Saccharomyces cerevisiae S288C: one gene and its partner. The gene in region 1 interacts genetically with each later gene. Each region holds a gene or a part of one and is shown on either strand. Other genes may lie near its edges. The genes, in order: YPS6 and YPS7.

Region 1 (3,935 bases):
TATGAAGCAGTGATATATAACATAATAAAGTTTCATCGCCTTTTACACAGTATATAGGGCTTCACCTATACAGTCCCACACAGTAACACACTGCGAAACTATGTATCTCTTCTCTACTTATAAAAGAAAATAAGATATGAAGGACAATAATGAAAAGGAGAAAGAAGAACGGTATTTGTAACCTGCATTTTGTTTTTTAGTGGTGCTTTCGCTAGAGCCGCCACTACTTGAGAAAGAACTAGCATCATCGCTTTGGGCTGCGGTGGCAAGCAATGATTTGTACTGTGAAAATTCCGAATACGAGGTCCAGCTGACATTAATAAAATCTCCTGTTCCGATGGGACTACCGGGCTTATATACCCATGTACTAAAGTATCCGGGAGCAGGGGTGGCACCTGGGACAGTATCGGAGATAACCTCAATATCTTCTTCTTGATTATTAAAGCTAGCCTGAGCAATAGAAATTTCGTAGTTTTCTAAATCGTAGACTACATATGCGTCGACAAGGAAAGCATCTCCCAGCATATAAGTGGACTCGGATTGCTTAACATTTAAAACGCAACGATCCTTAGCTGATGTTACGAAATTGGATATGTTTGCCGATATATTAAATCCTCCAAAGTCGACGGACAGTAAAGTATCGTTCACTTTTGAACAATCAAAGATGTAGCCTTGGTCGTCAGAGCTGTACTCTCCGTCAAAACTTTTGCCGATTGCTTCTGCAATTTCGGTGGGTAAATAGGAGAAAGTTGTGCCAGAATCCAACATCACTGGAAATTGAATATCCGAAACAGTTTTATTGCCAGATTCACTATCCAAAATTGCCACACTTTGTGCAGTAATAATCATCCCAGGATTTGAGCCAAGGGTATTGAATGCCTGCAGCATAGGCAGGGTGTAAAGCTGTCCTGTGTACTTACTTTTGTCCACTGCACCAAACAAGATGCTCCCGAAGTGTGCATCAGGTCCATTCAAAAATAAAGAATACGCTATTTTATTAATCTTTCCCTGATTTTTTAATTCCATTGGAAAGTTATCATATATGAAAGGTGTTCTGTTCAATGCCAATGCGTATTCGATACCATCTGTAAATTCTGCAATGGGAAGCGATATGCCTAAAATGCCACTTGGATTGCCTATTGTATCATTTGATACACCAAAAGTGAAATCATTTAGAGTAATATTTTCGAAAGAGACAACATCCGTACCATAAGTCCCTGCATAATACGTACCATCTCCGTATGTGTTATTGAAAAACGTCGCATTATTCTCAAAAGTAGATGAGTTGCTTGCATCGAATGTACCCCAATAAGAGCAGAGAGTGTTATAAGCTTCTGATGAGATGGTAGTCGAAGGAAGCCCATTGAACGTTGCTGTGAGCTCGTAATTATCAGTTGAAGCGTAGTCAGATCCGTCAGACATCGATTTGCAATAGGCAATGTCAGCATTATTCACAATCATATCTGAAGAGCCAGTATCTAACTGTAGGTACAACGTTTGTGGAGGCGTTCCGATTTCCATCTTGACAACATACACTCCTATTCCATTTATCACTGTGGTGTTAAGAACCTCATTTCTTTTGAAGACGGTAGAAACATCCTGTGTGCATATATTTATAATATCAGCCAACTTTTGAACAGGAAACTTAACATAGGAACTTGCGGAAGACCCTAAAACGGTCAATGAACACATCAATGATGACAACAAAGAGAGGATGGAAATCAATTGCATATTGATAGCTTTGCGTTGTCTTCAAATATCCTTATTTTCGAAAGAGACAAAATTTAACAACTGATCAACCAATGAAAAAAGAGAACAAGGAAGAACGATGAAAAACCCTATTCCAAGATCATAACACCTTATATACTCTCAACTTTGAAAGCAGTTCCAAAGCTTAAATCCTCGAAGAGTACTGCTTGCATGAGGTTTACGCAACAGGTCTAGTCAGTTTTAACTCCTCGGATATCTCGAGATATTTTGCTGTAGTGAGCGACAGGGTAGCAAATTTTTGGACCCTTAACCCCTTATACAAATTACCACCATATGTTCCTTTTCTGCAGCGAAAACCTCGGTGTTGTCAGAAACAATTTAAGAAAAGCACAGGCGAAATTGGGCTTGCACTGGGTGATCAACAATGCCAGAAATAAATGAGAAGCTTTTTACTCTTGCTTTTGCTTCTTCCTCTTTATGTTCAAGCCAGCCAAGCTATGTTATAGTGTTGAATGTCTTGAACCGTTATAGTTTCTAAAAATAACTTTACATTTTGTTATGCAATCTTCATCATCTCGAACTTTTCAACAAACGTTCAACAGTGATGGTCTTCCCCAGTGAACCAAAAGACATATGACGCTCGTATGGTATGTTAAAAACAACATAGAGGATAGTAGGTCGGGGTTTATTGTAGAAAGGACATAAATAGTTGACGTGGTAAATTTTCATCAACTAAAGCCACATCTATTTTGCCAAGTAGGAGATAATGTAATATGTAGAGGGATCGAGATTTACTGAAGCCTCACGTGAGGGCAATCTGGAATCAGATTGCACTGGTTTGCACCATACCTCTCAAAGAAGAAAACGTACTACTTTTTTAGTTGAGTATGGATAGGGTAGTGTTTCCTAAAGTTATAAGGTAAAAGGGGCAGAGGAAAAGTCGATAATAATTTGAAAGAAACTTGCTTCCATATTCACAAAGGAGCTGGATACTTCATGTCATCCGCACATATATCTACAAAAATTTCAACTTTTTGAGGTTGATACTAAGTCTTTCGCTACCAAAATGAAAGAAATCAATTTGGAGAGACTTAGGCTGAATATTTCCGCGTTCTCTCTGGGGATGAAAGATTTCTTACTGCAAAGAGTTTCAGTATTTACGGATTGGTTACAATTTTTTTTTTTTATCATAATCAATTCTTTGAATATCAACTTCTCTCAATACCATCCGCCTCTCAGCGGCTACAATTACGTAATTGCACCAAGGCCTTCGCCGAGAGTTTACATATTTGCAGACCCTAACAGTATACGACTCCCAACACACGTTTAATGTTGTACGAATTCAAGAGATAGAAATATTTCTTGCATGGAAGCCGTTTAGAGCAGACTGAATATGGGCTTAGACAATAAGCTTCTGTACGAGGGTCCAAATCTAAAATTCGGATATTCTTTTTGACCGAAAAAGGAAATGTCACAGGCACAGAAAAGGGTTTTATAAGGCACCTCGGCACCCTATAATTGGCATTCCCACATTCTGCGCATACGAATACACATGAGTGCCATAAAACAATACTCCACATACGAAGTCTATGAAAGATGTATGATTCGTTCAGAAACAAGGTCATCTCCATAGAGATAATGAGATTGTGTGAAAGATGAGATATGGAGGATATGTGAGGTGCTAAATGAGCACCTGTTAACGAATCGTTTAAGTAGTGATGACTGATGAAGGCATGGGTATAAATAGAGCTGCTTCAACTGTATGTCTTTGAGAATATGTTTTTATTCCTTTCTTTCCTGTTAAGCTTATATCAGCACTAAAAAACAAAACAAATATAATGGTCAAATTAACTTCAATCGCTGCTGGTGTCGCCGCCATCGCTGCTGGTGTTGCCGCTGCCCCAGCCACTACCACTCTATCTCCATCTGACGAAAGAGTTAACTTGGTCGAATTGGGTGTTTACGTCTCCGATATCAGAGCTCATTTGGCCCAATACTACTTGTTTCAAGCAGCTCATCCAAGTGAGACCTACCCAGTTGAAATTGCTGAAGCTGTTTTCAACTATGGTGACTTCACCACCATGTTGACTGGTATTCCAGCTGAACAAGTCACCAGAGTTATCACTGGTGTTCCATGGTACTCTACCAGATTGAGACCAGCTATCTCCAGTGCTCTATCTAAGGACGGTATTTACACTGCTATTCCAAAATAGAGACATGCCTTT
Region 2 (3,935 bases), on another chromosome or scaffold:
TATATACTTTTAAGTATGTTGTTATTAAATCTGCTATATAATGATGTTATACGTGCATTGGTCAAGGAGAAAAAGGTTTTATGTTATGAACTTTTGTTAAAACCATTCAAAGAACAATAAGTATCGAGAATATCGAAAGTAGTAGCAAGGAAGCTATACGAGTTACATGTCCAGCTGGATCTTTGTTAAATGTATAAGGACTGCTCAATCGAACGCCTGCTCCCGAAGCACTGCTGGTTCTATTAGTTGAATTTGACCACTCTTCTGAGGCTGACACAGAAAAGCTGTCGAATTGAGTACTGGATGGTCTAGCACTTGTGCTTGCTCTTGAAGTATCATAGAATGACCGGCCCGCACCTGTAATCACACCGTTTGAGTATGCTGCTGTCAGTTGACCTGGGACAGTGAACATATAGCCTGACCTATAGGATGGATAAAGAGTCAAGTTTCTTGTATTACTACTATTCATCACTTTTGCGTAAGGAATGTAACCAGATTTGATCTTCTTGATGATAGTGGACGCGGTAGTTTCATTTGTCTCTTCAGTAACTGCGTCATCTTCAACCTTCTTTGCCTGTGCAATGGCTATAGTGTTATCCTCTAAGTCCATTGCCATATATATATTTTTTATGAAGGCTTCTCCGAGTATGTTTACTCCAGTATTTGTATTAGCGTATAGTGTTAGAAAACAAGCTTCCTGTCCAGAACTGAAAAACATTGAAGAATTGGTGGATGTATCGTAAGTAGATGATAATAAATCACGTAGGGGTATTTCAATTGTCAATTCTCGAAGCCTGAAACCCAAGGAGACACCCATATCTGCTATAGAACATTGGACTAGCCACCTATCTAGTGATTCCACATAAGTGGCCGCAATTTGAACGGCAATCTGAATAATGGTACTAGTTGGCAGGTAACTGACCGAAGAAGTTGAATCAAGTAAGGCTGGGCTCAGAAAGTCCTTCGAAGTCATATTCAAACTTTGTCCGCTGTTAGACACAATATAAATAGGGCCTAATGGCACAATTGGGTACCCAACACTAACAGCATTACTCACTGGGTCAACGTAAGGAATTAAGTCAAATTTTCCCAGTGTACCGGTAAACAGCGAAGGATCCACCCCTCCAAGAAGTAGCTTCCCACAATTAGATATTGGATCTCTATATGTTTTGTACGTGGAAGTGTCTCCAGCCAACCACAGTGAATATGACGAACTTTCAATGATATCTGCATCTTTCAATAAGGATAGAAAATAAGACTGTTCTGTGTATTGTGAGCTATCGATAGCATTGCCTGGGTTTGTGACCTTCCCGCTTAAACCTAACAAGCCTGAAGTCTTAAAGTTCGAGGACTGAATATCAAAGAAGGAAACGTTTGAAATGGATAGGCTCCCCGAGTTAAATTGTACGTTATCTCGAGTTACCATTAAATCGGTTATCAAAGCGGTCGAGGAATTTTCTGAGGAAACATTTGTAAAATTCATATCGTCTGTCACCAAAGTACAGTTAACAGCTCTACCATCAATGAAAGAAATCTCATATATTTGGCCAGGAGAAACAGGAACAGATGATGTAGAGTCATTCATGAGGTAGCTGGGATGCTTATGATATACACCGGAGTATTCGTTATGACTTTCGCTTGTTCCGGAAACCAGATTTATGTACGGTTGGATAATATCCACTAGCAAACGTTGGCGTTGACCGGGAGTGCCAAATGTGCTATTAACATAGTAGTTTCCTCTACCATCTTTACCCACGGCTAGTACAGGAAACGGCTCCTCCGTTGACGAAGAGGTTCCAGACTTTGCTGTAGTTGTTGTATTTGCAGTACTAGCCGTTGCAAACTCTAACTGAAAAGTTGATATGAGCCACAGATACCATAAAATTAGGCATGTCATAGCAAAAATCAACGGCAAATAAAGCAAGCACGCAGTTACGATACGTTCAAAGATCTTTCCAAGTTCTGTATCCTTCTAGAACGATTAGTCTAATGCAACTGATATGTCCAACATTCTAAATATAACTTATTTTGGTATTAGCTGCATCATTCTACCATGATGAGCTGCGGCGTTCAATATCTCATTTTTTTTTGTTCGGGGTAACGAGGTTCATTGTTGCAAATAGCACGACCAAACGAGCGGTATGATACAAAGCACTGCAAGTCATAGCTGAGGTAAAAAAAAAAAGAATGAAGATCTCATTGTTTGGGTTAAATTACTTTCAAGAGCCTCTTTTTTAGGCTCGGTTGGTTAAAAGAGCAAGAACCGAAACACTAGTGCATCAATTTTTATAACAATTTTGTAATTATGTTGATAATTGGCAGTAAAGTTACAAAATACACACTAATTAAAATATTGAACACTTACAATATAAAGCTGATATCAAAATAAATATCGAACAATAAATACAACTCTCTCCAATATCAATATACTGCCGTCGTTATTTAAAAAATTAGCCCACCTGGGAACATTATAGAAAGAGATTTGTTTTTTGGTCTGGCAATGTGTCATAATCAAGCTCTTTGCAATATACATCCCCAACTCATATATTTGTATACAGGAAGAAGAATCGACCACCATCTATCGACTAGCATATTATCATATACGGTGTAAAAAGATGACATAAAAGATGAGAAACAGGGTAATCCCAACAATTGTCTCAATATTTACCTATTTCTCACATTGTCACCGCTCGAAAGTGCATTTTATATACGTTCTTTTGTGACGACTACTTTTGGCGGGAATCTTAGCGCCTTAAATGCAGTGAAAGATTACTCTTTTGAGTTATTGCCTGAATTTTGTCTGCAAAATTGTTATTATTCAGGAATTTAGAATAATTCAACTCTGGAGGCCTGCGCTGTACTACGGGCTCAAGTAATACCGGAGTGTCTCGACAATCCTAATATAAACAGTCTTAGGGAAGTAACCAGTTGTCAAAACGGTTTATCAGATTAATTCACGGAATGTTACTTATCCTATATATTATATAAAATATGGATCATACTAAATGGTGGAAGCGCGGAACCTTGGATCTAAACTGTTGGAATAAGAATCCACTATCGTCTATCAACTAATAGTTGTACTATCAATATATTATCATATACGGTGTTAAGATGATGACATAAGTTATGAGAAGCTGTCATCGAAGTTAGAGGAAGCTGAAGTGCAAGGATTGATAATGTAATAGGATAATGAAACATATAAAACGGAATGAGGAATAATCGTAATATTAGTATGTAGAAATATAGATTCCATTTAGAGGATTCCAATATCATCGAGGAGAACTTCTAGTATATTCTGTACACCTAATATTATAGCCTTTATCAACAATGGAATCCCAACAAGTCTCTCAAAATACACCCATTTCTCATAAACCAATTGTTCAGGCATTTATACGTTTAGATAGCCCAGCTATAGAAGGCGGAGTTTTACCTCATGTTGCTCAATCTGTTCGTTTTCTTAGGTTTCATATGTGTTCTATGAACGTTCAGGATAATGTATTGTCATGCTGACGTATCCCATTCTGAGATGTAACGTCTGTACAAAACAAAGCTTCAGTAGCTCAGTAGGAAGAGCGTCAGTCTCATAATCTGAAGGTCGAGAGTTCGAACCTCCCCTGGAGCATTTTTGCCGAGCACGGTACTTTTTTTTATTCTCAGTAAATGAAATCCAAGGGCTCATTTATTTGAGAAAGTAAATAAGGTATTAGAGGTAATAAAGTAACCATGGGCCAAGAAGACATATTCATAAACTTATGAAAAAACTTTGTAGGTATTAATAACTTATGGGTAAATTACTATCTATGAATGAATATTTACTATTTACTAGTGCTCATCTGGATATTAATTTAGACTTTTCAACGTCTCTCTTATAATATTTGTACATTTATTAACATCATCATCATTAAATCTAGGCTTGCCATCTTCTTCGAACATAT

What was found.
Region 2: of YPS6 (region 1) and YPS7, changing one enhances a phenotype caused by changing the other (phenotypic enhancement), as found in Saccharomyces cerevisiae (one study listed by BioGRID).

What each region holds. Positions count from the first base shown.
Region 1 is NC_001141.2:430,381-434,315, forward strand, and holds YPS6 (aspartyl protease), read right to left. Parts: upstream 1,732-3,935; coding exon 118-1,731; downstream 1-117. Other genes in the region: seripauperin PAU15, read left to right, coding at 3,549-3,923.
Region 2 is NC_001136.10:1,172,280-1,176,214, forward strand, and holds YPS7 (putative aspartic endopeptidase), read right to left. Parts: upstream 1,898-3,935; coding exon 107-1,897; downstream 1-106. Other genes in the region: ATP22 (Atp22p), read right to left, coding at 3,841-3,935.